4 linked regions of the Drosophila melanogaster genome follow. The protein of the gene in region 2 interacts with the protein of the main gene of each other region in a pairwise test. Each region holds a gene or a part of one and is shown on either strand. Other genes may lie near its edges.

The links.
Region 1: the proteins of CG12589 (region 2) and CG10365 interact in a two-hybrid assay, tested with the Drosophila melanogaster proteins (one large-scale study listed by BioGRID).
Region 3: the proteins of CG12589 (region 2) and LpR1 interact in a two-hybrid assay, tested with the Drosophila melanogaster proteins (one large-scale study listed by BioGRID).
Region 4: the proteins of CG12589 (region 2) and Vha36-1 interact in a two-hybrid assay, tested with the Drosophila melanogaster proteins (one large-scale study listed by BioGRID).

What each region holds. Positions count from the first base shown.
Region 1 is NT_033777.3:23,720,147-23,728,621, reverse strand, and holds the start of CG10365 (uncharacterized protein), read right to left. Parts: upstream 5,292-8,475; 5' UTR 4,964-5,291; exon of another isoform or gene 4,893-4,963; intron 241-4,892; exon of another isoform or gene 82-240; intron 69-81; exon of another isoform or gene 1-68. Other genes in the region: CG10232 (uncharacterized protein), read left to right, coding at 7,198-7,261, 7,445-7,621, 7,682-7,852, 7,909-8,046, 8,103-8,475.
Region 2 is NT_033777.3:5,134,125-5,142,147, forward strand, and holds CG12589 (uncharacterized protein), read right to left. Parts: upstream 4,866-8,023; 5' UTR 3,490-4,865; intron 3,450-3,489; exon of another isoform or gene 3,371-3,449; 5' UTR 3,354-3,370; coding exon 3,063-3,353; 3' UTR 2,933-3,062; downstream 1-2,932.
Region 3 is NT_033777.3:25,755,137-25,763,652, forward strand, and holds the start of LpR1 (lipophorin receptor 1), read right to left. Parts: upstream 5,187-8,516; 5' UTR 5,067-5,186; intron 4,150-5,066; 5' UTR 4,041-4,149; coding exon 3,656-4,040; intron 1-3,655.
Region 4 is NT_033778.4:15,536,995-15,543,867, forward strand, and holds Vha36-1 (vacuolar H[+] ATPase 36kD subunit 1), read left to right. Parts: upstream 1-4,440; 5' UTR 4,441-4,542; coding exon 4,543-5,283; 3' UTR 5,284-5,504; downstream 5,505-6,873. Other genes in the region: CG30471 (uncharacterized protein), read left to right, coding at 1-474, 531-656; CG30467 (uncharacterized protein), read left to right, coding at 1,320-2,525, 2,584-2,943; CG8187 (uncharacterized protein), read right to left, coding at 3,036-3,409, 3,463-3,646, 3,706-4,278; eIF2Bgamma (eukaryotic translation initiation factor 2B subunit gamma), read left to right, coding at 5,760-5,910, 5,964-6,472, 6,528-6,668, 6,762-6,873. UniProt on the Drosophila melanogaster protein: Subunit of the V1 complex of vacuolar(H+)-ATPase (V-ATPase), a multisubunit enzyme composed of a peripheral complex (V1) that hydrolyzes ATP and a membrane integral complex (V0) that translocates protons.

The sequences.
Region 1 (8,475 bases), about 19 Mb from region 2:
TTGCTTAACTATCTACGACTTGTGGGTGTGAAACCCAAGGAATAATTTTTAGCTTAAGCTGAAATTTGAACCCCGGCTTACTTGTAGGTGGTTTTGTACAAATGCCTAGTGTTGTGTTGTGGTGTTTGCAAATTTTCTATATTTTCTGTATTCCCGGTTGATCTATACTTATTTTAGCTGGGCTGGTTAGTGCTCTTGCGCCGTATACGACCAAATAGTTCCGCCAGCGAACGGGAACTAAACCGCCCAGCGCGAAAATCGAAAACATTTCCAACGCGTCGCCGTTCGCGAAGAGGAAGACCGACACAGAGAGGCGGCAAATAAGAAAAAAAAAAAAAAAATAAATGAAAAAAATAAAAATGTAAAATAAATATTTATGACGCTCTGTCTGACGAGTCGCAAGACTTATCTATAGGTTTGAATGTGGCGAACAAGTATTTAAATCGCCTCTCGCCGCAACGCTCTCACTCTCTTTTTTGTTCAGTCTAGTTTCACTATCAACCGAGAATTATGGCTAAATCTTGGGGCCTTGTATTAAGGTAAAGGTGACTTGCTGGCCAAACACGTCCATAAATAATGCAACAATTAAATAAAGTCAAATATTTATATACCTTATAAACGGTAAGTAATAACCGATCGTATAATGACCAAGCTGGAAATGAGCTGCGTGACGAAAAATAACCCCTTGAACTGAAGGATCAGCAATAAATTCGAGTATTTAATAATTATAAATATATAAATGCTGCAAATTAAGAAATGATTTTGGAAATTGCCAATCATGGGCCATAAAGATCTTTGTCGCCTTAATATTTATTAATAAAACCATTGAGACAGAAAGAAAAAACAAATCACTTCAACTGATATTTATTGCTATTTGCTATGATGCTTAATATTGTTGTTTTCCCGCATTTTCCTAATGCCAAAGAATAAATCATGTCTGCTTAGTAACAGGCAACTGTTTTTAACACCCAATTGTAACTAACTATTACACCGATTAGATGAAAGCCAACAAGCTGCGACTCATTTTGATAAGATTATTACTTGATTTATAGCCCTTCCATGATTGTATTATTGCAAAATAAAGATCACTTTTTATTTATATTAAGCTTGGAAGCATTTCCCCCGCGTCCAAAGTCTAGATCCAAGTGCACTTTACGATATTATCGCAAAGTATTTCTATCTGTTTTTATTTTTATTTATATATAAAGCCATTTAACGCGTTTGCACCAAGAGACCTAATCTTTTAAAATGGATTGAAGAATGGTCGTGTCCAAGATAATTTGCTATCTGCTTAGCACTATTTTCTTTCTGAGTTCATTACCCGTCGTCTTAACGTATCATTATTCTCAGAAGAGCATCTATAGTTCTTCACGTTGAATACAATTTCCATTTAAGTTTTACTTTCGCAAGTTCAAAGAGGGGAGAGGGGAAAGCGGCATAGCCTTTTATTAAATATGTGTGACCAATCTTCTCGCTTTGCTAACTACGCTGTTTATACATAAGTAGAAATATTTTCAAATGGCCGACGGTACGTATACTTGATTTTTATGCTTGCATCAGTGTACACAAACGAAAATGTATATCGTTAAAATGTTGTATGTCATATTTTGGAAACCAAATAAATAAATCTAAAACAATCAATCGCGCTTCAAAAAATTTTGTTGTCAAACACATTATTTTTGTTTAAATATTTTCTGCATTTTTAATATTTTTTAAAATATGTGGACTTCGGAATTTTTATCTGTGTAGGGCCCTGGCTGCCATACCACGGTATCGTGATGGCTCCCATTAACGAGGCATGCTCGATATATCAGCGTAACAATGTATATATGTACATTTGTACTCTCGTGCGCATATTTGTTTGTATTTTTAGCTATTTTATTTCGCGTGTAGCACTTATACTCATGCATATGTATTAGGTACATATATGAATAAACTTAAACATTTTGCACACTTTGTTTTGATTGCCGCCTTTCCGAAATGCCGAAGGAATTTCTAAGTAGTTGTGAGCTTTCTGTTTTCATACGCTGTTTCTAAATACCAGTATTTTTTGTTGGATTTTTATATTTGCTGGTGTATTTTTAATCATTTTATCTTCTTCTTCGGGTTTCGATATATTTTAGCATAAATAAATTGACCCAAAAACAGGCTGGATGGTGGAAAATTACCGAAAACAAGTTCAAAAACCTTAAACGCACATCCCCATGCACACATACATATACATATGTAGATGCTTACGATATTTAACATCCTCAAAAGCACAAGCACACACACACACACACACGTTCACATGAGACTTTTCTTTGCACCACACAACTTGGTTACGTATACGCAGCGTTGGCCACTGCTCGTTTGCCATATGAAAAACGCTCCGAAATCGACTCGCTACACATTTCTGGGTCCTTGATACTGAACTTTTTTCATTGTGAAAGTTTTTTGCCAACGGTTCAAGGTTAGCAAATTTTTCTCAAAAATTGTTTATACAGCAATCTATAGTTCCTATCGGTCGTGTATGAGTGTGGGATAGTAGTTGGTCTGCAGTTCCCCAGAAAGAGGGCAAGTTACATTTTTTTTTTGTTTGCTTCGGGTAACAGGCGCAGAGCACACACAAATTCTGGGCTCCGTTAGCTATGTATGTACATAGAACGCCTTAAGCCCATTGATATCACATGTAGATGTATGTATGAAGAATGTACATAACATACGAGTGTACGTTTTTTAGGGGGGCATAAAAGTGTATCATGGTGGCGGCAGACTGAAATTCGTCGAAATCAACAAAGCACACGAACTCACACACACACACATGCACGTACACGAATTCTCCATCCAGATGGGCAAAGCTGGCGTTTTTGGATCAGGGCTTAGCACTTTTGGATGGGAATTTACGTGCAGCTGACTAAATTTTTGTCTCGCTTATCTCATATGTGATTCGCTCATTTAGCTTTCATCACCCGGCGAATAATCACAATTGAGATTGACAGGGTGTTAAATGGACTGAATTAGGTGATCTAAAGTTCTTAATAGTCGGCCTTAATTCAAAACAACTGCATGTTACTTAATAACACGCCCTCTAAATATGTTATCATGTCTTCATCGTTTGTTTCTTTAAGCCAGATAAGTGTTACTTAAATTCAGACGCCTTAAACTTATTTCTTTATTGAATTCCATATTGCTTTCAATCCTCTAAAAAAAACTCTCATAAAAAATCCTTAGTCATTTTATTAATTACATACACTACTTACGTATTATTATCTATAACTCTTTTAACATCAAATTAAACACACAAGCCTTCTGAGTATTAATTTACTTTGGTGCCTGATAGAATTCATATACATACAGGCACTTGAAAACAAAATAATAAACCCGGCTACTTGGCTTAACACTTCTAATTAAACAATTAAAAATATATTTTATTTTATTGTGCGCTAAACGTGGCTAATAATTCTCCATCTGTTGCTTTTTGCCCCTCTGAAAATTATCAAATTTATTCGACAAGGGCCTAGACTACATTTTATTGATAAATAACCAAGCAGACTGAAAAAACTTGAGTGTGTAATTTACAATCGCGCGTTGGCGTTTGCTATCGCCATATACTTTTTGCTAAAATGATAAGAGTTCATTCCGACTTGGGTTTCGAGACGAAAGGCCTCTGATAAGGGGCTGTACGGTATGGCACCCCCTCGATAGAGAAGATTAGACGTGTGAGCGAGCTACAGCCAACCGGCAGATTAAAGAGTTTGCCAGACAGTCCGGTTGAACAAAAGCCTTGAAAGGTAAACAACTTTTCAGCATATATCAATTAACACATCTGGCCTAATTTGAAGAATCACAAAAATAAGATACCGCGTAAAACCGACCTCTTAATACTTTCTTTTGCGCATTTTACTATCCAATCCTGTTGGCTAGGTGGACATACACGTGTGGCTCTCTTATTCGCAGATTTGTCTTGTTTATTCAAAACTACAAACTATTTTTAAGCACACAGCTTATATTTAACTTTAATGATGATGTTTGCTGCATGCATTCAAAGATATATTTAGCAATCAGAATCAGCATTTGAGAGGAAGTGTGCTCTAAGATGAAGAAGTAAATGATTGAGTGTAAATACGTTCAGTTTTAATCAATATTTGCTGTACTTAGTCCCCTTTTTTTTTGCATTTATTTACTTTAGTTTTTATTTTTATTTTTGTAAACACATTCATTTCATTGAATTTACACGTCGTACAATACGTATACCAAAGCGGAAAACTAAAAAGGCATGCTATTAAAGTTAAATAATTTCGGAATGAATAATGCAATCTAAACACCCGAAATTCGAAATATTCATCGAATTTCGGGTGTTCAAGGTACGTGCCAAATACTGAGACTAGAAGTCTTACTGATAGAGTTAACTAGCATTAATAGTATAGGGTATAGGGTACTTTCATATCATAAGCCAGTTTAAAATTGGCATTTCTTTAATGATATGTTTATATGAGTAGCAATTTCACTTGTTTTGCTGATTTCTAAATGCATTTTCACCATTTTCAGGCTCTGGTGATTTGCATCAACGGATTGCATGCACAGTGACTGGGCAATAAATTGAGGTATTTAATGTAAATACAAGAAAAGTAAGCAAAGACGAAAATAAATTCAAATACGTTTTGAATTAAATGAGAGGGAGGATGAGGGTGTGAGTAAGAGAGAACAGGCCGAGAGCGAGAGAGTGAGCGAATTATAACGGAGTGCAGGAAACAACAACACACATACACACACACCGATAAGGCAGAGTAATTACAGCAACAAAGTGTTGTAAATAAACAGCAAGGTAAATAGGAGCGAATGAGATAGTATATGCACGTGTTGACACTGAAAGCTCCCAACTTGGCACACTGACACACATATGAGCTTACATAGCAGCTATGTATGTACACACGTACATCCGATCTCTCCAAGTGCAACAATTTGATGCACAATTGCCCACCTGTCCATTTAATACCGCTTCCGAAAGTGCAACGGTGGCGTTTACGAGGGTTCATTAATTTTATGCTTATCAATTTCTGTTTCTTGCACTGTACTCCGCTTTTGTTGACTCGATTTGTTTTCTGGTTTTATCACTTTTTTCATTCCGTTGCGCCATTCAGCGGGGCAACGACAACACTAGCATTTCGCACTCGGTTGCGCGCCTTGTAATGAAAACAATAACAATAACACAAGCGCCTTTTCACTTGCACACTATCGCGGTGTCTCTTTCGGACTGACTGATGAAGCAGTGCGACCGTCCCCACCGACGGTTCCAATGTAAGTGCGAGAATTGCGCCGTTTTTTCGCTCTCAAATAATGCTCCAAGCTTCCCGTTCGTCGCTTCCCCACCCCATCTTCAACTCTTCAGCGAATTTCGCTGAGCGAGCATAAACGGTAAAATAATTACTGATTTCTTTACAAACCAGTCCTGGCAAAAGTACATACATACATAAATATGTACGTATGTATATACATACATATATTATTAACGATAAGTATTTAATATTTGAAGAACACAAAGGACATTGATGTTCAACAAATAACACTGAAGAAAATGTTGACATTTTCTAATATTCATATGTAATTTAAGAGCATAATGTGTATATATTTTTTGAATACCAATGTAAATTAAAAGTAATTGCGCACGATTTTTTTTTTGGTTAAATAAAACTAATAAAATAAAACTAAATAGACTTACTTATTATTTTTGTACGGTGTAGTTTTGATATTGAAGCTCCTTGATGCTGCCCCACTCTCTCTCTCTCTCTTTCTGTCTCTACACCTTCTGAAGCGCTCTCAACGCGCAGAGAGGAGACGGGAAGTTACGCATCTCCACTCTCAATGGCGAATGCTCCACAAACCCACAAACATCCATTGGCTGACGTAATTCATACGCACCGTTGCCGCATGCAGCTCGATTTTATGAATGGAAAGCACGACATGCAAAAGCACATTGCCACCAGGCAACAGACAAACTGAACAACAGGTGCAATTGGAGAACTTCGATCTTAATTGCTCTAATTGGAAAGTGATGTGTCGCAGTCTTGATTGCCAAGCTGCTGACTGATGGCAAAAAAACAACCTCCAGTTCAGATGTTACCTTGGTAAAAATAGACACGCACATACTATGTACGTCTGATAAGATCATGCACTAAATTTCGTTGAAATTGCGTCAGTTAAAAGCTGTGAAACTAGTGCGGACTTTTCACGCATATCCCTTGTATCAGAAAAACAAAAGCGCAAACGTGAATGGGCAACTATAAAAAGAAATTAAAACATTACCTTAATGTGGTCATATATAATTTAATTTTTTTTATTTATGTATACATATATTCTTAACGTTTCGCAGGTAAAATGCCTTAATTAATAAAAGTTTCATTCAACCGCCAGATATTTTGAAAAAAAATTGTGACGTTGCCGGCTATCCAAATAAAGATTTTAGAGCGCCATCTGTTGACTATGCTTTCCATACGTCTTGAAACTCGCCCTCTATGTGTGGGATCTTAAATATTATTATACAAATTGTAAACAAATCGTAAAACAAATACAATAAAATATTATTAGTAGTCATCCGTAGCGTAGGAACAATCCATTTTCGATAAGAAATTATAATAAATTACGGCAAACAAAAATAAAGCAAAATATATATAAGAAAATAACATCTTGGTTTTGATTTATGTATAATTACTTTATGGATAGATAACCGACGGATTTGAAATAATAAATACAAACAGTGACATAGTCTCACACTCTTAAATCCTAAGTTTTCGAATAATTTTTTTACTCTTTCTCAGCGATCAGGGGTTCGTAAGCAGACAGCGTCTGAAATCCGAGTTAGTTCAATCCGGCACTGCTCTTAGATCATACGCATACTTATAAGTTGCGTACATAAAAAGTGAAAAGTTTTTAAATTAAGTCATCATATTGCTTTCCAATACAATTTGGCTATTTGCTTATTAATAATTCAGAGTGATAATTGACCATATATTATTAACACACACTTAGTGAAAATTTATGTATTTCAAATTATCGAAATAACTTGCCATTCCAGTCCAGTTCTAGATATTTCATATGACTAATGGATATACGGATATACCCAGCTATATTTCCCAGAATTTATAATATGATACATTTTGGCTAATGGTCAAACTTTCATCCTAAGAACAGTCGAAGTTTGAACGTCCACATATTGACATGGTCGAAGTATCTGTTTGCTTTCTTATACAAGGGTTTCTACTGTCGCTGTCATTTGGGCGTGGTACGAATAATTAATAATAGTGTTGAAATAATTTGCTTTTCAGTCATCATTATCATTATCATAATCATTTTAAGAGTTCAATGAAGTTCAAAATGTGCGTGGCAAGAAACACAAAGTCGCACAAATAGCCATTTTTTTTATATTCTGTACACGTATGTATTTCACGGATCATATTTTGTTCAGTTCAGTTGCAGGTTTACAATTCATGGAAAAAGTGTGATGTCAATGAGGACTGTACACACCTTAAAGCATGCCCACCCTTGAAATACTTTCTGCAATCGGCGGATATAAGTTGGGCCAGAGAAGCAATATTGCGGGACAAACAATGTGGTTATAATAGCTACTGCTGCCGAAAAGAAGGTAAATGGCTGACCAAATCGAAGTCTTTTGCCATTATTTTCTAATTTCGAACTTTACCAGGCTATGAAAGAAGATCCAATGAACAATGCGTCATGCTCAATGACTGTCCCCAGTTTAATGGCCGGAAATGGACGAGTGATATTTTGAAATCCATAATAAATAAAATATGTTATATCGATCACTTCCAGCCATTGGTACGAAGAAGGGTCTACGTAAACTGTCAAAGACAAGGTAATGCTTTTCGTATAATACCCGATCTATCGATTACTAATTCTTAGCCCTTACAGAGATTTTTCCTTGCCAATACGATGAGATATGTAGAAGCCGCGATAGCTGCCCTTTTCTAAAGCTTAAACGGAAAAAGGCCCAGAACATATTAATGAGCAGGCAATGCGGCATTAATACCTACTGCTGTCCTAAGCAGGGTAAGTGCAAAACAAAAGTCTATCATTTAACCACTTACTAATCGAAATAGTTATAGAATTTCCAGATTGTCCAGCCGATGAAAAATGCATAAGATTGGACAAGTGTCTTCGTATCCATAATACTACGATGGAAGATGGGGCCAATTTAATGGATAACAGACAGTGTGCCATCGATACCAGAAGAATAGATTCGGATAAGCGCCACTACATCTGCTGCCCGGAACCAGGTAACGTTCTACCAACGTCCTGTGGACAAGCTCCGCCTCTTTATCGAATGGCATATGGCACAGCGGCGAGGCCAAATGAATATCCTTGGATGGCCATGCTTATCTACGAGAATCGCAGACTATCGACCATGACCAACAACTGTAGTGGCTCCCTGATTAACAAACGCTACGTCCTCACCGCTGCACACTGTGTGGTCAAGGA
Region 2 (8,023 bases):
TATTTACGCACAATGCAATCAGAACATGGCGCCATCAAAGTCGGAGTCCTCTGACGTCACCACACCCACACACACACACCCACGCACACGCACACGTTAAGAGGATGGCCAGGAGGGGAGAGGCTTATAAATTGCATCTTTATGCACTATAAACATTAATTTACTTGCCATTTAGCTAGACGCACAGTTAATTGAAAACAACAATACCCAGGCAGCGCATCAGAGGCAGTGGCCACATCACACGCCCCCATCCCGCCCCTTTTGGCCATAATGCAGCGACGGCGGCAGCGCAAACAACTTTAAATTATGCAACGAATAGGAAATGCAGCGTACAAAAATTGCAGCCATCGTGAAACTTTCACTGGGGGCGGGGAAGTAATGCCAAATTTAATTGCAATTAATGCGCAGTAAAGCGGAAGTGCCATAGAAACGAGGCAGCGCGTCCATGCTGCGCGGCCGGCATTTCCGGTTGGCGCCATGTTGCAGCCGGGTGGCTTGGAGTGCGCCCGGGTGGCAAGCCCGATGTGTAAACAGGAATGCTCTTCCCGGTTCTCGGTTTAGCCCCAGGGATTAAACTAATTGGGTAACGAGCTCTCACTTTTGTCTTTCCAGCAGGTGTTTAGTCCACTTCTTTATATTTATATATCTCAGATGAGAACTACTCCAAACTAAGCTATATTTACGGTCCATAATGAGTAGAGGTTGATCAGAGGTCTTTTGTAGACTATTTCACTCCCACGTAATTCGTATATTAATAGAAATCCAATTTATGATGTTTCCAGTGATAAAGGCTTAAAGTTCAAGATTAAAATGATATAGAGCACAATTAGTATCTACTGATAGATTCCTTTTTAAAAACAATTAAAACTATTACGAAATAGATTGAGATTGTATTGATTGATGCTTTGTATAAAAGCATACCACACTCTTTCTACAAAAATTGCGGAAAAGAAAATTAAATGGGTAAGAACATTGCGTGTATATCGATCACTGCATCAAAAGCGCGCTTAAAATATTTTATGTTAAATGAACCAGTTGGCCATATTTAATTGTGTTGAGTATTGAATATATTATTTTCCAGAACAACAAACAAAGAGCAGTCAGAGCAAGAACACTACAAAGATGAACTAAACTGAGCCTTGAGCCCATATACCCCAAATCCGTGACCCAAAATATTCAAATGGGCCGTGCGGAAACGGATGCACAAAGTAAGAAATCAAGTTTAAAGGGCCCCTGCCGTTTTCGTTTGGCAACATCGTTCGAGCCGCGTGACACCCGATTTAGGGATGGGGAGTCCGAGTTACATGCTACCTGGTTGCATTTACCTGGCGCCGTCGCGAAATTCAATTACTCGTGCACCATAAACCGATTAACTTATATAAATATTTATATCGCTGAAATGCAGTCGGTCGCCAATGGCTTTATGGTTCGTGCCGCCCGTTTGAAGGGCGCTTCCGGTGGGCGGTGGGGGCGGTTTCGTTGTAACGGGGCGTGGCCTATCTGTGGGCGTGCGCCTGCATATGCAAACAGTTTTCCGGCGCGGCGTCGGGGTCGTTGGTCATTCAGAGAAATGGAGCTGCGGCGGCAATAATTTCATTTGCATTTGCATTTGTTGCCGTTTATGGTCCACTCAAGTGATGTCAGTTGTCCGACCGGGTCCAAGTTCCCCCTTTCGACCCCGCTCGGTTCACACTCCAAGTGTTTAATGATAACACGCTAGGTGTCATCCACAGGCAAGGACCCTCGAGGCTAGGACATAACAGAACTGAACTCAACTGAACAGAACTGTGTAGAACAGAAACAGCAGGCCGGAAGGCATATCATTACAATGCGGCGACAGTGGGCCGTTGCAGTTGCCGTTCGGTCGTAGATACACTGGGAAAAACCACTCATATAGTGGTCATTAATTCGGAAACAGTTGTACAGACAACTGCCGAAGATTTTCCATTTAGGTTGGCATCTGCTGCTATCGATCCCAGTTTCTCTCTGTGTACTGTAGAGCATGTAGGTGGCAAGTGGCAACTACTTGTCTCCATAAATAGTTGCTAAACAGCAATGGGCCCGTGTAAGTGGCTGATGCGACGAGGAGCGAGTAGGTTCCATCCCAGGCGCCGCACGTCATTGGAGGGGACAGGACGCGGACAGCGGCAGTCAAGGGTTAATCTCGAGTTAAGTGATGCACTCGACCTCCGCTGCTTGGTGTCTGGTTAATTGAGTTACGCAGAGCGGCGCACTGCAAGGCGAACTTTGATTGCCATGTCACCAGGGTTTTGGGCTATTTGTTGTCGGGCAATGTGCATTGTGTGGCGTGTGTTAGTCGCATGAATTAAGTGCCTAAGTACGGCACTTGGTTTACATCCGAACGCACAAGTCTGTTCAACAATTATGATTGTGTGGGCCACAAATCTGGCCTTCCTGTTCGGCTGGGACTGTCATCAGGCTGTCATCAGGTTGGATAATTGAAAGGACTCGTGGAAGTGCCGTGTAAAACTTCTTAATACTCTTAATAAGCCAAGCCTTTGCAGTAATTAAATATTTGTTAAAATACTAGTGTGTAACGAATCAAAACTATATGATTTCACTTTTCGATTATTCCTGTGGCTGCTTGTGATATTATGGTCCAACTTAGCCTTATTTACCACCAGCAGCAAAAATAGAAGTTGTGGGAAAGATTCATGCCATATGAACATGACTCTATCGACTAGGATATTATTACTGATCAAGAATATGTACTTTATAGTAAAATATATATGGTCGGCAAAGTCTTTTTCACTGCGTATTAAACTTATGTCTGAAATCAATATAATATATACGGTATAATATTTATACAAAAGAAAGACTGGACATAACCATCGTTTACTTTGCAAACTTTATGAAACTATTTCTCAGTAATTTTCGTTCTTAATTTAACATTAATGAGGCTTTTATGATTAAGCTTTCTAAAACCACTATATTTAATACGAAGTTGAGAACATCATTACATCATCTTTCACCAAGATAGTTCGCTTGTACTTTTACACTTTCGTCACCTGAATTCCGAGCTCCATCGTCCATCGATTCCCCTACAGTGCCCAGTGGCGTCCGTGTTTCACCTGCAAGCTCAGCAGGAGTCGCTGTAACCGCTCCTTTCCCTCGTATAAGCTTCTTTGCTTGTCCAGCCGAAGGGTCACCAGGCGGCGCTGTAGGTGAGTCAGCTGCTCCCGGATCCACACGTGGTTCGCCTGCAGGCGCAGCACCATCGCTACCAAATTCTCAGGCTGACCCACTTTCTCCAATTCTCCGTGCTCATCCATGTCCTCGCCGAAGTCCAGTTCCATATCTATGCCTGCGACGGCTGTGGAATGCGCGTCCATTGTGCAACTGATGTGTGCTACACAGCAATGGTAAATTGTTATATTGGTAATGAATATACATACATATGTCAATTGAACAAAATATTTTTGAAAAATTTTAAACACATGTTGGAAGTAGAGCCAAGCAAATACATACTATGTCCTATTCTATATAGTTGTGGGAGTCCCAGTTTTTTTCAGTGTGCGTATCTGCTGGCGACAGAAGCGGAAACTTGGAATAATTTAAGCGTGCCAACTGGGTGGCAAACTTCCATCTAATCGCTTAATTCCGAGTTGCAAGAACTTTGGGCCCAGAATCCAGCATTCCATGCCGGAAACCTATACGCAAAAGATTTCCGCAGCGAGTGAGTGCAACTTTTTCTAGTTGATTGACTTGGAAATTGAACATTTGCTCCGTGTTTGGTTAAGATGTCTTGTATTTTTTGCCCAGCTAATGCCCTCGATTGGTTGTGAGCAATGCGCAGTGGTGCGTTCGTAAAATTTTCAAATCGTTTGGCCTAGTGGAAAGCACGAAAGGCTGGAAAGGCGGGAAAGCGGCAGCTACTTGAGGTGGCTCAGACCGAAATTGCTTTTCCGCACCCTGGCTCGACCGAGCAGAAAAATGCCAGCCCTGCTGACGCTGCCCCCGGAGTTCGATTTCGCACTATCGATTCATTTGGTATTCATTGGCCTCGCTCGCTCTCCACAGCTTAAAGCGCTACATGTCGCCGCAACTTAGTGCCTTTGTTTCCTTTGTGCGAGTACGAGTTGCATTGCACCCGGCCGACCCAGTTGCATCGTTTGGGGTTCCTTTTCGGGCGGCGCAGCGCCGTCTGAATCGTAAATTGGCAGCACGTTCCACACGGAAAAAAATATTCGGATGTCAGGCATTCACTTTACGGATGACCGAAAATTTGGCGGATGACCGGAAATTAAAGTAAAGTTCGAAAGAAATCTAAATGATATCCTAAGATATTTGACGGTATTTGAGCACTTTGGAAAAATGGTCTAAAATCATGAATGCATTTCGCCAAGTGCGCACTGCATAGCATAGCAATTTGCTGCGACTCCACTACGACTGTGATGCTAATGATCAAGCATCTCGTCGAGAGACAAGGCCAACGGCTCTTGTCAAAAGAATGTGAACTGGGCGGAATGGTGGTGGAAATTGCAGCAGTTTTCACTTTTCCTTTGCCCGGCGACATCTTATGCACAGAAAACGCCTTAGTTGCGGTGTTGTGGCCGCCAGCCGTGCGTATGCGTAATATTCGAGGAATGTTTCGCATTTCCTTCTAACCGAAAAGTTTGACAAGCTGTCTATTTGCTGGGGAGTGTGCGTGTGGGCAGGCTGGCTGTTTGTTTTCTATTTGTGGTGCAGGCACTTGAGGCTATTTCTGGATAATACGCATGCGACATGTTGCCAAGGCGAGGATAAAGCCCAATTTTAAGGCCGTCCGAGCTTTGCGGAATAGCACTGATGATGATTGCAAATACGGAGTGGCTCATCTCTCACCTTTGACTTTAAACAATTTGCCAAACAACGTTTTAAATAAATTTTAAAAATCGATAATGGATAACTACTGCCTCTGTTAAATTAAGATTAATTATAAAATTTACTTATTGTCATACTTTTTTAAGACAGATTGTAAATAAAAAGAGAAAAAAAAAATAAAAAAAAAATCGAGCACAACAAAATCCACGCCTGCTGCTTTCATCCTGACAGGCTAATTGAAAATCTATGAACCTAAGTTTAAGCCTGCAACCCTTTCCATTGCCAGTTGCATCTCTATCTTGGCTTTTTCTGGATGTCTGTTGATATTCAGCCTGCCGGGATTGGCAACTTAATTATTTCAGCGGCACGTCGCCGGCAACTGGCGCTTAAGCCAGCCACCCGACGGTTGCAAAAGCGAAAAACGGGCGGCACAATGAAAAGGAATAAGAAAAGCTGTGATATAAACAGCGCTTTCAGAATGCAACGTCAGTGAAGGGGAAGAAGAACAACAGCTGCTTCTGGGAATCCGCGCCGAAGGATAAAGTTGCCAGCCAAAGGATTTTACTACACATCTGGCTAAAGAAACGGCACGAGAAAAACTCAGCGAACGATTGTATATCATTGTATATCTGTGCATATCTGTGTGTGTCCGGCTCCCCATTAGCACCAAACGACTTCTGCCACGCCCACTTACTTCCGGCCCACCGCATAGTGCTATGCCACAGCAAAAGTCGAAAAAAGCCCCACTTGCGGCTTTATTCATGGACTTGATTCATTAAGAGACATTCACATGCGAGCATTCCCATTTACAAACAAACAGTGGAACTTCCATTAAAATCTATTTTAAATTTAGGAAAGCCATGTTTTTATGTGTGTCGTTTCACGGAATGAAGGCACTGAATATTTAAGTTCTGTAGAATTGTTTTAAGATTTATAAGAAAAAAGGCTTTATAATCGGATTCATGTTTTTAGCTTACGAATACAGGACAAATAATTCATAATTCTGAAATGAATCTCTCTCAAAGATCAACAATTTATTAGGTAAATAGATTTCCAGAACACACCTACTCATAGTTGCCGAGTATTTTATATTTCTCGCGTAATATCTGCGCTTCCCCCCTTTCCAATGACTTTGGAAACTTTGACAGGGCAAAAGTAATTAATTTTCGGCAGCTAACTCAAAAAGACAACCAGCGAACGGCAAAAAGCTGAAAAGGTTAAAAAAAAGGCAACACAGGCGGCACAATTAACGCCTGCAACTTTAATTGCGTTTTAATGTGAATCAGGCCGCAGAAAAGCTGCCTGTTTGGATGCTTTCACGATGGCTCGATGGGCGGAGGGTGGCTGGTGGTGGGTGGCGGATGGCTAAGTGCACGGCTCGAACCAAGCGGAGTGGGTGGTTCAACGTGCTCTGTCAACCGCAGGCGGGGGCTCAAAAGCGTAACAAGCATTGGCCGCGCCTCAGCAACATGTCCGTCGTCCTGCACCCACACACACACACACACACACTCGTACTCGCACTCACACACTCACACTCGCAAAGGAGCGGAGACAAACGCACACGTGAATTCGTCCTGTGACTATGGGCTCTGCAGTCCGGACTACGGGACTATGGGACTATGGGACCACGGGACTCCGGATGCTCCTGTGTGTGGTCGGCCTGTGCCTGAGTGCCTGCCTCAAAAGCAGCTTAACAAACTCACACGGACCAACATGCAGCCACAAGGCAAGGCGCACTCGAAGGAAAATTCATGTTATTCATATTATTATCAATACTCAAATATTTACTCTGAAATATAATAATTGGTAATGTTTTGTGGTACCCTGTACAGAGCCATAAACCTTATTGTTACCCAAACCAACCAAACTTACACTGCTCGAAATTTTACTTAAGGAAATGAATTTGGTTTAATAAAAGAATACGAATAATTTTACAGTGTAATCAGTTTTAGTAAGCGAACGATGTGACGAAACAGTGTGATCTGCTAATAACTCGTAATCAAAATTTCAAAGAATCCGAACTGCCCATCTAGTTAAAGACGTGAAAACGCACAAAAGGAGTATATGCTTTTTTAAGCAGTTGTGCTCTTTTCTATTAAATGTCCCAAAGGCTTTTTATCATTTTTGCTTTCCAAACTTAAAATGGGAATCCTCCAAATCGTTTTCCTGAGTGCACGGACTCGAATCCGCACCCGGAAATCGGGCAAAACCGTGTGCCTCTGTCGGGGCAAACTATTTACATGGCACCCATTATGTCCGGACTTGTAGCTGCTTCTTTGTGATGTCGCCAGCCTGGTTCCCCCTTCCAATCGCCCGTCCTAAGTGACGTGATTTAAATTTGTATGCCCTTTGAAATCTTGCTCCGCTTATCGCTGCGTGGATGCATCCATCTCCATCCGACCCCAAAAGGGTGGCCCTCGGTCCGCCCGGAGCTCCTGCACGGATGTGCTTCCGGCGGGCACGGGACAAATCACGTAATCTGGCCTTAGCGGGTCAAGCAGCAGAAGCGGCAGTAAACTGTTGAACCGTAGCCGTAGCGTAGCAGCCCGCACGGCGAGATACAAAGATACTTGGCCGTACAAGTAAATAGACATAAAGATACACGACATGAAAACCACTGTCAACATGGAGTCACATGCTGCTAATGTCGAGTGTGGTGCGACTTGCGGACTAGCACAATTCCCGAGCACATCAGGCAAGTGGAGGGTGCTTCCCTTCAAGGGGTTCGACCTAAAAATACTCTCTAGCACAAATCGGCTTTGAAAAGGGGCACACAATAGTTGGAGAAGAAGTGCCCAGCGAAAGTTGTATTGGGCTACATCTTTTGTGGTTAAGTTAATATGTCATTAGAGAGAAATTTCAAAATTATAATATAGTAAGGAAGGGAGCACAATTTAGATCCCCTCTTTACAAGCCATTAATTTGTTTTTACCTAACAGCCCACAATATTCCATTAACTGAATAGTGCACCATATTACTTTTCAGACCGCATCGAACTAGTTATTTTAATTCCCTTTATACGCATTGTGACATTCCGAGCATAGAAATTATTTCTTCGTAAGTCAAGTTCTCTGAAAAGAGCCCTGCTGTTCATTGGAAACAATTCCCTAGCTTGTCATCCCTTCACCTTGTTATGTTTCTGGGAAAAGCAGCTCGGAAAAGAAAGTGATTTTTCTGTGTGGTTGCTATACGAGTATGC
Region 3 (8,516 bases), about 21 Mb from region 2:
AAAAAATGAATTTAATAGATTGCCATTGAACAAACAGAGGGCCAGCAAAAAGCGATAATAATGAAGGAGGCAATATTGAAGTGGAGCCGTGCGTGTGGCAAAATAAACAATGGGATATCTCCGATTTGCAGCCGTCAATCAATAAGGTCAAATCAATTCGATTTCATGTCGCCGCGCTGGCTGGTCGGGAATTGTTTTCAATTATACATGATGACAGTCAACAAAATGGCAAATTATAATTCGAGCAAATGCATGCATATATGTATTTATGGGGCAGATGGGGGAATTTCGTTGAAATAATTCCAAATGACGTCAAGCATGACGATGAATGAGTTCCTTTGCCTTATGCGGCGGGTGTTTGAATGAAAAAGTACAAAAATAAATATTAGCTTGCGGCTCACAGAAGGATTTTGAATAGGATAATGAAAAAATAATAATATGGAGGTTCTACGAGTAGAAATAGGCAAACAGAAATAAGTACTTATAAATTGTGACCCTGAACGCGCCTTTAAATAAATTAGCATAGCTTGAGATTGATAAGGGTTTTTCTTGGAAGAATTTTGCTAAACTTTGCTAGAAAACTCAAGATGAATTCAGAAAACATCCTTGAAAAGTGATTTAAACCGTCAGTTTGCACATCAATTAACCCACTAATAGATTTTCCAGCCGGTTGCCACCTATCAATTAAGTTCCTTTGCTTTCTTGTCACAATCTAAACCTATTGAGTTTGACTAAATTGAACCAGTCGGTGGTTATTGATTACCGAGTTTCCGTAATGAGGCGGACACACCCCACAGATCGAAAAACCAGATCAATATCACCATTATGGGCAACAACAGCCTGTCTGCCGCCAACTTCGGCCAAACTTCACACACAATACGAGACTATGAATAAATAAACCATATCGATAGGCAAACTGCTTAGCATAGCTAATGATTTTGTTAATCGTAGAGGCGAAAACAAGTCCACACACAATCCGGTTGGCTTAACCCAATAAACTTCACTTCGCCGCTCGAAAATCAGAAACTGCAAGTTGTCATCATCATACGATTATTTTTTAGTATATAACAAAAACAAAAATAAAAAGCAATAGACACAGCGTGCCAAAAAATTGCTGATAAGCCCTTATCACATGGTCATATTAGACTAAGAAGTAATCATAACTGTGGGAAAAACTGATATGACTATATTGGTTGAGCAAGGTGTTAATTGCTGGGAAAAAAACGAAATCAGTTCATTATTTTCTTTTTCCCCGATTTAACACTAATTAATATTAATTCAACTGGGAGCACAGCCTTTGATAAACTCAGCGCCCCGATTGCGTCAAAATCAAGGTTAATGGATTACCTGATAATTGATAATTGCCTGAATGAATTTAATGTTATACATGGAATGACAAAACACGTGATTCCTGGGGGATGCGGCCCGTATAGAGAATGATTTGATGCATCAACAATTTCCCAAGAATAGTTGAATCAATCAAAACATGTTTACAGTAAGCAAACAAAACAATTAAACTGCATCAACATTCTCTCTACGTAAGATGAGCACGCCCACTATTAATTTGTTATTGTTTGTTTGCCATCGGTTCTGGCACCAGCTAGTTCTATATGCTAGAGAAATCTGTTGGCACAGCGAATAAATTAAAAACTGAATCGAAATGGGGCGTACGAATAAAAATTGAATCAACTTCTGCCTCTCTTCGGCGACCTTGCCACATCGCATATAGATGCGAACATATACATATGCACAAACAAACATACATATGTACATATATCATATCAAGCATATGTTAATTTATCTGACAGCAACTTTCAAGCGTGAAAAATCAAATGGAATTAACAATAAGTCAGCAGGGAAAAAGAGAATATCAAAGAGATAATGCCCCTTGATGGGCAGCATTACAACGCAAATCGACTGAGAATTGGGGGCTCGACTCGGTCTATATTTATGTGAATTTTCCTAGTACACTGCATACTGAAAAGCCAAAAAAAAAAAAATTATATTTAAATTTAAATTAGGCATCGCAGTAGGATGGCGCACCGATTTTCTGAACTACGTCAATTTCTGATACAAATATCTCTGAAATGCGCCTTGTTTTTTTGTGAGATGTTTAAGAAAATGTGTGTTTTTTTTTGTCAACAATTTATAATATATAGAGCAAAGTCCAAGATTCCCAAGAGCAAAGTACAAAAATGCAAGTAAATGTGGCAGATTTAGCCTTAAGACTATTTTTTGGCACTCAATATGTTGATTGATTTTCAAAAGTGCGAACTGCTTAAAAAATTTAGCTATTTAAAAATAGTTTCAAACCAAAATGTGTGAACAATAAAAATAAATTATTTTGGTTAGGATAACTGCTCTAATACGTCTTAAAAATTAAATATTAATTTATAACAATCGTAGTTTTCACACTTCATATTCTTTTATCTATATGTTTTCAAGATCATTTGAATGACTTATGGCACCAATTCAAAGCTCCTTGCACTATCAATCCATTAATTCTTGATTTATAGAAGGAAATTTCTATTGTCTGACTGCCCTTTATTGTCCACTTATCTTCAAGTCGCGAAATCCCGGCGGTCGAAAAATGCATAAAAACAAATCGTAAAATTGACCGATAAGATAATCCCCAGTTCGGGGCTAGCACTAAACGTAAATCCATATTGGCCAAAACAGGTGGCTAGATTTAAAGTTAGATTTATGATTGGAATGCCCCGCGCCACAAAATAACGTCACAGATAGACGCCAAACGCTTTTCCTATCGCTTAGCCATTAGAAGATACAGATTCTCGATGGTCAGCCAGGCGGAAATCAATGCGGAAGTGGATAAAAAATTCTCGGCTATTTCGATACCACGGTAACAGTAGGTCCGCATACCGTCTGTGTGTGTGCAACAAGTGGAAGGTGCACTTTTGTATCTGTATCTGCAACTGCATTAGTGCTTGTATCTGTATCTTTTTAACTGAGCCCATTTTAAGTGCACGAAGTGTGAAGTGAGCAAAGCCATTTGAATGACTCGACATGCAGGTGATACCCTTGTGACCAAGATTGTGATGATTATAAATTAAGCAGTATAATGGAAAGGCCATATATCTTAAATGTTATTATTGACTCATATAAGTCAAAACTGCTTACTTTCCATTCAAAGAGGATTGCTTGGAGTTGCGAAGATAATGTAATATTTTGAAATAATCGTTTACATTGCTCAATGGCTTGGGGATAATTTAATAACTAAATACTCAAACACTATCAGCTTAATAAAGTTTAATGAAAAGCTTCTTAGCATTGGTTGATAATTCTTTAACGATTAAATTGTAATTCGATTGCACGCGCTTTAATTTTAAGTTATCAGCTCAAGCTAAGTACTTTACTTTGTTCTACAACGCAGTTATTAATACAAATTTTTTTTCATTTTACATATTTGTAAATAGGCATCAAGTTGAAAAGATTAAATGAATCATTTTATATATACCCCAAGCCAGGGTATCCAAACTTCATTTTCGACTTCAACCTCGACGACATCTGTGGTCTAAAATTAGCACAAGCTAGGCTATAAACAAACATCGCACTTTGTGCCCCCCCTTGTGCGATCTTTTTTTCTGGTTTTTCGCTATTTTCGCCGGTTTTTTCAATCAGCCAATGCATTTCTCACCTATGCCGAGGGGTGTGCCAATCTTTCCGGAAACGTTGAGGAACTTGAATCCCATGTTGATGAAGGCTTTGCCATCGATCACCTTGCTCAGCGATCCGCTCTCGTCCAGCGTTTGTGGATTATGTGGGCTAACTGCCGAGGTGGGCGTGTTCGTTGAGGGCGTGTTCAGCGGCGTGGGCGTGGCAGTGCAGCATTTGCCGAATCCGAGCATTAAAGTCAGGAGCAGGAGATTGAAGTTGGCGCATGCGCAGCGGAACAGCTGTTCGGCGCGTCTTTTCTCGCCGAGATTACCGAATGTTACTGGAGATTTTGAGCTTGTGGTTGATTTTATGGCGGTTTTTGTGGTTTCACTTGCAGTGCTCGTAGAGCGTGACTCTATGGCCATGGTACGGTATTTTGCTTGCCTTCACTCTTCTTTTGCTTTAATTTATGCTGTCTGTTTAATGCTTTTTTCACACTTTTATCACTTCGATCTTACAAGGTTTGTATAGACACTGTATTCGATAGGGGAAAATTAAGTGGGGTGATTTCTGGTGACCCTGGTTGAATAGATTATCTAAGCAGGAAGCGTGAGATCTTCGCCAGAGATTATCTAATCAGAGAAATGGCCAAAAGAACCAGCGTCAACGTAAAAATAAACGCAAGCATTAACGCAAAAACATTGGAAGAATCGCTTGCCAGCCAAAAAATAAAATAAACACACGATCCGGCCAATTCTCTTTTACTTTCGTCTCTCTTCACATTTCTTATTTCGAGATGAGAAGACTGAAGAAACTGGTTGAAAATCGTGCGACACACAAAAACGCGACGTAGCTAAAAAAAAATACAAAAACCGAAAAGGCCGAAAAAAAAAAATTTAAGCAAAAATATCGGACAACAACAAAATCACCGAAAAATGCGAAGAGAGAAAAAAAGCAACGCATAAAATTACACAGAAAATTCATTTATATATTAAACTTTGAAAATAATTATATATGTACTTAACGAGAAATAACATTTATTTTGAGTAAAATATGGAAATTATAAACGATAAGTAAAATATTTGATAATAATTGTATATTAGCAAGAAAAACAAGTTTTCCCTTAATTTTTATAGAGAAACAAAAACGTTTCTGTTGACGTTGGCAATTAATAAAGCCGAAGTATAATTTAAAATTTAGTTGAGCGGACGGCCACGCCCCCTCCGATCGCGCAAATAAATTAATTAAATATTGTTGTTGCCGATATTTGTAGCTAGCACGCGTCAAATCGCCCGGATAAATAAACTCTTATCAGTTTTGCCTTTTATTTTGATTTATTTTTGCGGTATTTTCAAGGTGTCTGCGAATGTGCGGCACGTGCTAATCGCGTCTTTCCAAATTTATTTCAGAAACAGATCATTGCATTTAAATCTGTAGAATGTTTGAATTACATGAGGTTTGTTTTTATTTCGCTTTGTTTGTTTCTTTTGTGTTTTTTATTTGGTTTTTAAGTTGAAAATAAACCGCAAAAAACTGTGATGCCCGTTTCGCACAACGCGCCTTTTTCAACTGAATTCGCTTAGAGAATTGGCCTGCAAATTTAAGCGAATCGCCAGCGATTTTAATTCGAGAGCCGAGAGTAACTGTCGTTTGCGATTGTGCTTGTTTTTGCACCGTCTTAAGGTGGCCTTATCAAAACTGACAAGAAACTGACCAGACCCCGTCGAAGAGATACATAAAGAGTGATCTGGCAGATCGGAGCACTCTCTGAATTTAATCGATGCTGTATTCCACTCTTAGCTCCCCAAAAGATTACTAACGTACAAGGTGCTCTTAAGGCAAACCAGTTGATCAGTGATCAATGGAGCGTACGTTGATGTGAATGGATAGATTGGGCAAGGAATCGTTGGGCGATCTATAGATACAACTATTACAGAAGCATTGTTTAAAAACTACAAGAATTTTAAATGCTTCTTCAACTGAGATAATTTATTTAAAAAACAAAAGCAACATGCTAACGAATCCCAGCTATTAAGAATCGATCAATCATTTCTTAAGTTATAAACCTACGCCTTAGAAATTAAAGTATTTTTTATGATAAGGGATCATACTACTTTCGGAATATTGCGACTGATTTCACAACTAGACAGAATTCCGTGGAAATATATTGAATAAGTAGTGATAATTATCTTGTCGTAATGCCAAGAATCCACTTTAATTTAAAAATACGTTTTGTTATTTTATACTCAAGTTGGGCAAATATCCCCTGAGAAAGAAAAAGAAGGACTCAAGTGCTAACTTGAGAATGATGTTTGCGAACCAACAAAGGTTATATAGGGTAATCGCACAAAGTGTACTTAGATGTACATGTAATTGGTCAGCCAATTATTCAATCTGATATTAAAGTCTAATTAAAAATAAGTGGTTAAGGGCTCCGAATTAAGAGCAGTTTCAGACCTCGGAAAAAATCCTATTTTCTACAGTACCAACCTGAATGTAAGGAAAACGCCAAGGAGATCACAATCAGCACACAGAGATCACTTTTAAACATCGTACTGTACGAAAATACGTTTTTCAGACTGTATGTATCTAGACTTCCTTTTTGCGTTGCCACCGCGTTTATCAGTGCGAAAAACAAAGATATTTTTTAATTAAGCTGGACAACCGGACGTGAGAATTGTGCCGATAATCGTACGACAGTCGTGACGTTCTGCATGGGCCCACCGAAACTATATCCAGGTATCAAATAGGTATTTTGAATATACTTAATTCTTTTGATTTTTTTTTGGGACCCGGAAGGTTTTACGGTGTGATGCCCAGCGAAGACCGATGCGAACTGAAATGCCTTTCGGCGATTGGTAAACGGAATCGCAGCTCATTAGCATTGAAAGTGTCGCCGCTTTCAATCAAACCAGGTGTGGGTCCGATTGAAAGTGGTGTGAAATTCGAAATTGAACTGGAGTGTCGTGGATTTGATTTCATTGGCTTTTGGCTTGGTTAGAGTTGCGTTGACTGACGTCGATGATAAGAGGCGGTGAAAAATCGCAGCCAGCGGACAATGGGTTCGGTTAGGGTCAGTCATTTAAAATGCGTCATCTTCAAAACAATTATCGGCACTAGCAGCATCCCAGTACCAATGGAAATCTCAATCAAACCCGCAATCACAATCACCATCATATCAGCCATTAGATTGCATTGCAATCACCATCGTCATCGGTGCTTGGGCGTCATCTGCATTTGTCATGGATTCTCCGGCGTAACGGTCCACTTGAAATGGGCATAATTTATGATTTGCGCGTGTAAATCATTTTTCAAGCACCACCCCGCGATGCTTGTGAATGACAGAGCCGTCGGAAAACCCCCACCAAACCAACGCCCCTGCCAACCATTCTGTATATTTTGCAGTGCGCCGCCGTCTCTAATTGCAGGCGTTGGAAATCGCTGGCGAATCGCTCGCAAATCGCCTAATCAAGCACTTCAATTGACACTGCATTTTATCGCCCTGCAGCCCCGTGCCGTGTGTTCAAGTTTTGTCGAGTGTGAGTTTAGGAAAACATATGTACATATATATATACACCAATACATACATATGTGTCTATTGTGGTTTTGGCAGGCGTGAAGGGCCAGCCCATCTATCAACTATCGCTTGGCCAGATAATGATCAGTGTTCTTTAATCTTTAAGTGGCCTGACTGTAATCGCTATTTTCGGATACCGAAACAGGAGTCCCTTGGCTATATAATTTAAATATAAGAAATATTTTAAAAAAATCGAATTAAGCGAGCAGAAATATTAATAACCATCGCAACATAAAAAACTAATTAGTTTTAGAAATAAACGATCATAAAAGTTGTCGTATTTATTGAAAATTCATGATAATTAGGTAAGACTGTAGTTCCACTTGAACTAAATTAATATTTTAAGTGCATTGATCGAGTAATTCCAAAGCGGAAATTCTGACTTAAGTCTTTATCAAATTAAGCCCAAATTCCATACGCCCTTTCTACACTTTCAACACCAGGGCATTATACGAGCAGTTGGGAATTACATGACCCAATGTTTGCTGTTGTTATGGCAAAAGTCTCGATTTGGTCTACGTATAGACAATGTCTGAAGATCTCAACTCGGTGGCGTCTACACCTCATTTGTGGTAGGTCTAATTGAACTTTGCTGCGATTTTCCAGGGAATTCGTTAGTATTGTTTGCACTGATATACACTGATTATTATTTTGTTTGCGTTATGAACACTTTGTGTGGTCCTTGCACTTCACAGTTCATATTATGCATTGTATCTTCATTATTTTATTTCTTAACACTTTGTTGGTTCCGATCCACTCGACTATCGACGCGGTTCTGAAAGTTCGTCGTTGGTTTTTTTTGTGTAGTGGATATGAAGTGTCTGTCTCTTTACCATTTCCAATCACATCACCCCATAGGGGGTTGCTTTAATTACCTATTACCATATTTGGCTAATTAACATAGTGCAGTGAGTTTGATTAAAAAAACGTCAAACGCATTAGGTAGAAACGAAAAGTTTTCCACGCGTTTCTTTTTACATGCTTTTTTTCTTAGATAAGAATTTTAGAAATAGTTTTTCAACATTTTTACATATATTCTCACTTTTTAAATACTTTGTGAAAATTTTAACAAGCAAATATATTTTTCTATGATCGTATGGAAGTAACAGTGGCGCGGATGTTATCGAAAATTCAAATGGAATATATTTTCGAAAGTCGCGCGCGATTGGAAAAAGTCTTCGAATCCGAATGTAAACAGCGAATGAATGAGCGAAGAAGTAACGGTAAATTTCACATGTGCCAAATGACAATAGAAGTCGCCGACGCAGCAGCCTCTGCCACAGCCGGCGTCGCAGTCGCAGCGACCGCGGCGCATTAGCAGAGG
Region 4 (6,873 bases), on a different chromosome or scaffold from region 2:
ATCGCCAAGAAGTTCGAGTTCTCCTTCGACTCCACCTATGCGACTGGCACTCAGATATACACGAGTCCCTTTGTAAGAGTTTTGCCCTATATCGTGGGAGCCATAGCCGCATGGTATTACCAGGAGCAGCGATTCCAAGTGAGTGAGCTGAGTGAACGCCGGATATGCCGGTGGTGGCATTTCAGTCTCAAGGTGTTCGTGGGCTGCATCTACTCTACGGTGAAGCGGGATCTGGGTTACCTTATCACCATATCGCTATTTGTTCTGGGTCGCGCTCTGTTTTCCCTCACCATTTGCTGGATGATCGTGGGCAGTGCATCGGGTACTGGCGTTTGGTGGTCACGCCTGCTGGAGGCCAAGTTCTTTCAGCATTTGAACCGCCTGTCCTACGCCATATATCTATTAAATCCCCTGGTGATTGCCCTCGTTTACAGTCTGACCAGTACGAGCTCTGCAGTTGATCCCTTTCTGCTGGTAAGTTGCATTCTCATTTGATTTTGCTTTTTAATAATATTGAGTTGTTTCTTTAGAGCGTCATCTGCTGCGGGTTTACGATGATCGTTTATCTGGCCTCCATCGCCTTTTCGCTGGCTTTTGAGCTGCCCTACAGCAATCTGTCTAGTTTGCTGCTCAAGGGAAAACCAAAAACCTCATAAACTGTGATTACCTTTCATTGTTAGCATTACATCTAAGTCATTTATTAATAGAAAGTTATGGTTATAAAATAATGTTATCTTTTATTGGAATTTTCGAATTTAGATATAATATTAAAAGAATAATATTATAGCAACGTTGCTGTTGGAATTTTTGAATTTAGTAACAAACATACTAATAATACGATATTTAATAAGTGTAGGCGCCAATGTTTTAAATTTCCTTGTGGATTCCATTGGATTCCACAACGTGTGGTGATGATTAGGTTTGCACCTTCACTAACTAATGAAATCCACACTTTTGGTTGCTTTCAAAGAAGTTAAAGGTAGTTTTGGTTGTTTTAAGTTGTAAACTGATATTGTTAACCAGCTGACTAACTTTCCCAGTTCAGAAGTATCACACATTTGAGCAATATATTTAAACGATCAACCCACCGAAGTGCGAGAAAGTGTGACCTGCTTATGTAAAAGTGATTTAGATACCGAGCTTTTCCGAACTGACTTTTCCAAAGCTTAAGGTATTTTTTATGAAAGAACCAACGGACCCACTGACAGCGTCTAAAAAAAAAGATCTTGTCCAAAATATATTGATTAGTACCACTGCCATTCTGCATTCTGCCAAACGAACCCGTTAAACAGTTTGCCCAGACCCGGATCCAGATCGAAATGCCCAAGGAAGAAGCGGAGCCATCGGCGAGTGGTCTTGCGGTGGCCGCCAAGCAAAACGATGTGCCATCCGCGGAAAACTCGAATCACAAGGAAAGCGACGCATACGCCTCCGCCTCTGCCAGCGCCAGTAGCGCCTCGACCACGCCCCCACCCGCCCAGGAAGACGCCGAGGAGGCGGAGCTGCTGGAGCGTATGCGCGGCGATGCAGTCGGCAACACCATGTACAGCAGTCGATTCATCCTGAAAACGGTGATGAGGGTGGGAGAATTACTGCGGCATTCAACACTGGATCAGCAGCTGGAGGATGACCTGTGCAAAGTGTGGGACATGTCGGTGTCCCCCGAAGTGGTCACACTGCTGCTGGAGAACGGAGCCATTGATCCGATCATGTACACCCTGGTGGCGGGCTGTGAAGATGTGCGGCTCTACGAGATTCTTATCGGACTGCTGGGCAATATGTGCGCCCAGGTGGAGTGCGCAGAGATATTGGCCTGTGACCGCTACACGTTGGAAACCCTGTTCAAGATGACATACTGCATGGACACCGCCATGTTGATACAGCTGATGCGACTCTTTCAGTACATCATGGCCCATGTGCTTAGCGGCAAGGAGAAGTTCGCTGTGAACTGGTACATCTGCTTTGCTGCCTTTGAGAACTCCGCGCAGAACCTGGGCAGGATATTGCAACTGTCCGTTAGCGATGAACTGCTAGTAGCTGCACTGAAGGCCACAAATGCTGTGCTGGCCAGTTGCGCCTTGGTGGAGGAGGAAAACGCAAACTCCACGTTGAATCTAAAGCCTTTTGCGGAGGTCTTTCTAGTGCCAGAACTCTGCGAGGGGGTCAATAGCGCGTTTTTGCGACTCATGCGCGATGATCAGACAAAATTGACCGACGAGGAAGCTGGCGAGGACAACGAAGATGCAGAAGTGCCAGCGGCCCACGACAGTGATGAAGATGCCGACGTCGGTTACGACTCGTGCGGACCAAAAATAACCTGTGATGTGGAGATCATACAAACCTACCTCAATATATGCACCATTCTGGTCCAACTGCCAGAGGCGCAGGCCTCCATGGATGTGTATGCACCCAGTATAGTCAGTTGTCTAGCGCGAATACTGCAGTTTTTGCAGCAGCCTCTGCAACTCATTCCATTAGGCGAACGCCAGGAGGAGTATCTCGAGGATCTGGCGCACATTTGGAGTGTAAGTTTGGAAAAGATACTTAATATTCGACGTTCTATTTAAATATTTATTTTTGCAGCGCCTGAAGTACTTCTATCACAAGGAGGCCTTCTTAAATCTTTTGGAATTGTGGTATAGACTTAAACAGCACATTGACAACTACACGGGGGGAAGTGATCCCGACGCCAATGAGTTCGAAGAGGACGAAGAGGAGGAGGATGACGCTCCAAAGGAGCAGTATGTGGAGAACGCCTTGAAGTTGCTGCGCCTGTTGGCATGTATGGTGATAAAAGCGGAAAACTCGGATCTCCAAGAGATTGGCGATGAAAAGGTGCAACTGTTTGTGTCTGCACTCAAAGCCGGAAAGGAAGAAGCCATTTTCTCAAGGGCACTTGAATGCTTAAAGGATAAAGTGGCTAAGGAGTCGGGCCAAGCCTAAACAACATGCCTCCATGATGGATAAAGCAAAAATGACTGAGATTGTAGCTTGCAGCACAATATATTCTTAACTTAGTTAGTCTCTGTCTTTACCTAAGGTAAATCGTCCAAGGTGCCGGTAGCCTTCAACTTATTACGCATCATATCGCTCCATGACTGTTTTCCCAGGCGCACGCCCTTGTCGCCTGTGCTGCTTACTTCCAGTCGATTTGTATTTGGATTGCTTAGCACGAATTTGTTCTTGCTCTCGTTGAGAGCATGGGCTACATGCTCCAGTTCGTTTTCCAATTTCACTTCGGGGGCTGTTACCTCGATGTGAAGATTCTGCTCTATGGCTTGGGAAATGTGTATGATAGCCTCTTCTAATAAGTTCTCGGCGTCGATTTTGTTGCTCCCCACTAGCTCAGAGAGTTGGACATTTAAATTTCCTCCTTTGGTAGTTATTTGAATATTGCCATGTACTCCAGCTGAAATTGAAAGTTTTTAGCATGATGGTGTTATTCTTCGTTGTTTCGCATACTCATATTGAGATCCGACGACTGATGGACGTGCACTTCGCTGCTTTTGTGGACATTCTTGAGCTCCAGACGCCCAGTTTGTGTCTGAAACTTTGACTTTTCCACATAACAACAATCGGTTACAATACTGCCAGCTTTGGTGGAACAATTCAAGCTGTCTCCTTGCAACTTATCCATCGCAATGTTCTAAAAAAGAAATATAAAGGTTAATAATAAGATCAGATTGATAGTAAATTTTTTCTCACCCCATTTTGTGACTCTATTTGGGTAATCTTGCCCAGCAATGTGCCCTGGCAATTGATGTTGCCATTTTCACTGTACAAGTTTATATGGGTGGCCTTGATATTTTTGGTAAGGATGCCTTCCTTTGCTTTGACTTGCAGCAGTTCACTCTGTATGCCTTCCACTCGCACACTACCTTTTGCGTCCACAGAGACATCGGAACGCACAGGTATTTGCAGATGGCATTCAAGCTTTGAGGGCTGCTCCGCCAGTTGTTTAACCACCACATTGACCACCTTGTCCTCATCGGTTACCTTCACATCGAGAGAGACATTCGAGTTCTTGACATGGCCGCCAACCAGTTGGGCGATAAACACATCCCCGCTGGTATACTGATGCACATCCGCGGGCTGGATGCGCAGGAAAACATCGGACTTCACGTTGATCCTGGCAAAGGGGTTTACATAATGCAGGATCTCCTGATGGACCATCCGCATGCTCACGGCCATGGCTGGTTTGATGTGGGCTCGCGACTTGTTCGCGTATTGGCGTAGATGGTTGTTTAAATGTGTCAACCACACGCGTTGCAGAAGCATTATAAATCCAATAAAGAAATGGAATTTATTAGATTTGTTTACTTTTAAATGCAAAATCAGCTGTGGCTGCGTATTTTGCAGTACTGTATCTAAGCGCACTACCCAGCACCAACTGGTTATCGATTGGCTACGGGCAGTAGCCAACACTGTCATCCGTCATTTTCCAGTTGGAGTTTTTCAGTGTTCTGCGACGGTTGCAGTTTTCTTGATACGCAGTTGAAAATTGTTTAGTCCAGCCAATTACCATCCGAAAAAAACAGCAAAATGTCCGGAAAAGATAGGCTACCGATTTTCCCGTCCCGTGGTGCCCAGATGTTGATGAAGGCCCGTCTGGCTGGAGCCCAGAAAGGTCACGGTCTGCTCAAGAAGAAGGCGGATGCCCTGCAGATGCGATTCCGTTTGATTCTGGGCAAGATCATCGAGACCAAGACCCTGATGGGTGATGTTATGAAAGAGGCAGCCTTCTCGCTGGCGGAGGCCAAATTCACGTCTGGCGACATCAACCAAGTGGTGCTGCAAAACGTGACCAAGGCCCAGATCAAGATCCGCACCAAGAAGGACAACGTGGCTGGTGTCACTCTGCCCGTTTTCGAGTCCTACCAGGACGGATCCGACACCTACGAACTGGCCGGTCTAGCCCGTGGTGGTCAGCAGCTGGCCAAGCTGAAGAAGAACTACCAAAGCGCCGTTAAACTGCTCGTGGAGCTGGCCTCGCTGCAGACCTCATTCGTCACCCTGGACGAGGTGATCAAGATCACCAACCGTCGTGTGAACGCCATTGAGCATGTGATCATCCCCCGAATCGATAGGACTTTGGCCTACATCATCTCGGAGCTGGACGAGCTCGAGCGTGAGGAGTTCTACCGACTGAAGAAGATCCAGGACAAGAAGCGCGAGGCACGCATCAAGGCCGACGCCAAGAAGGCGGAGTTGCTGCAGCAGGGCATCGATGTGCGCCAGCAGGCCAATATCCTGGATGAGGGCGATGACGACGTGCTGTTCTAAGTATTACCTTGGATGTGTTTATTCCAGCAATATTATTGTTAAACTATTTTCTGTTCTGTATCCGTTTCCATATTGTAATTCGCAAAGGGCAAGCCACAAACTTAATTGTACCTATGTAGCAAAAGTGTGTAGACTATTCCAATAAGCAGAAAAGTATGTATTCCATTTTTGTAGTGTAGTGTAAGCTGCGCAAATCATGCATTAAAGTCTTGTTGTATCATACGATGTGCATTCTGTGTAATAATTAAGTGGAAAAAGGGAATTTTCATTGCAAAAAGGGTCATCTGACTTGTTTTATACAATAGCAAAAGCAACAAAAACAATTGCACAGTCACATGACAGCAAACATATGTCTGATTGGAAGCAGTGTTGGACAGCGCTCGTAGGTGTTTCGCTTGCATTGGATCAGCTGTTTGCGTGGCTCTTTTTGTGCTTGCACGCTTTTTAGCCGAAATTATTTATATTTTTGTGAAACAATGACCGAGTTCCAGGCCGTAGTTTTTGCCGCTGGGCGTGGCACTCGTCTACCCGAGGTCTTGGGGGATGCCCCCAAATGCCTGCTGCCGGTGGGTCCATATCCTCTGATTTGGTATCCCTTAAATCTGCTGCAACAACACAACTTTACAGGTAATTCGGATAGTCTGAATTAAAAACCTGGATTTAATTGAAAAATATTTCAGAGGTCATTGTTGTGGTACTGGAGCAAGAAAAACTAGAGATCCAATCTGCTCTGGAAAACACTCCCTTAAAGCTGAGACTGGACTATGCCACGATTCCTAGTGACGGGGATTTCGGAACTGCCGACAGTCTGCGCTACATATACGATAAGATCAAGTCGGACTTTCTGGTGGTCAGCTGCGACCTGGTCAGCAATGTCAGCCTATATCCGCTGATCAACAAGTTTCGGGAACATGATGCCGCCCTTGCAATGCTCCTATTTCCCAGCGGATTTGAGTCGGACGTTGTTATGCCCGGTCCCAAAAGCAAGCACAAACCGGAAAGGGATTTGATTGGCATCCATGCGGCCACTCAGAGATTGGCTTTCGTATCCGCCGCCAGTGACTGCGAGGAAACACTCAACATCCAGCGACATCTGCTCAAGAACCGCGGAAGGTTGGATGTATACAGCCGACTGGTGGATGCTCATGTTTATGTGCTGAAAAAATGGGTTATCGATTATCTACGAAGGGTTAGTTTTGATATGACCTTATAGTAAATTGTTTTCTAATATTCAATCTTTGCAGAAGGAAAATATATCAACCTTTAAGGGCGAATTTCTGCCGCATTTGATAAAGAAGCAGCACTCAAAACGACCTCCTAAAACGGTGCAGGACACCACATCCGAAGTGGGCGTGGTCACCAAGAATGAGGATCATGTTTTGCATGTGAGTTACTACTTGGTATTAACAGGTTACCTTTAGTACCCGTATACCCGTATTGAATATCATATAAAATCCTATTATGTCTTTAACTTTCAGTATGTAGGCCACACCATTCTGGACCAGAAGATCACGCAGACTTCACTGTTTAACCAATCTCTATCCCAATCCCCCTATCATGGCGATATTGTGCGTTGCTATGGCATTCAGG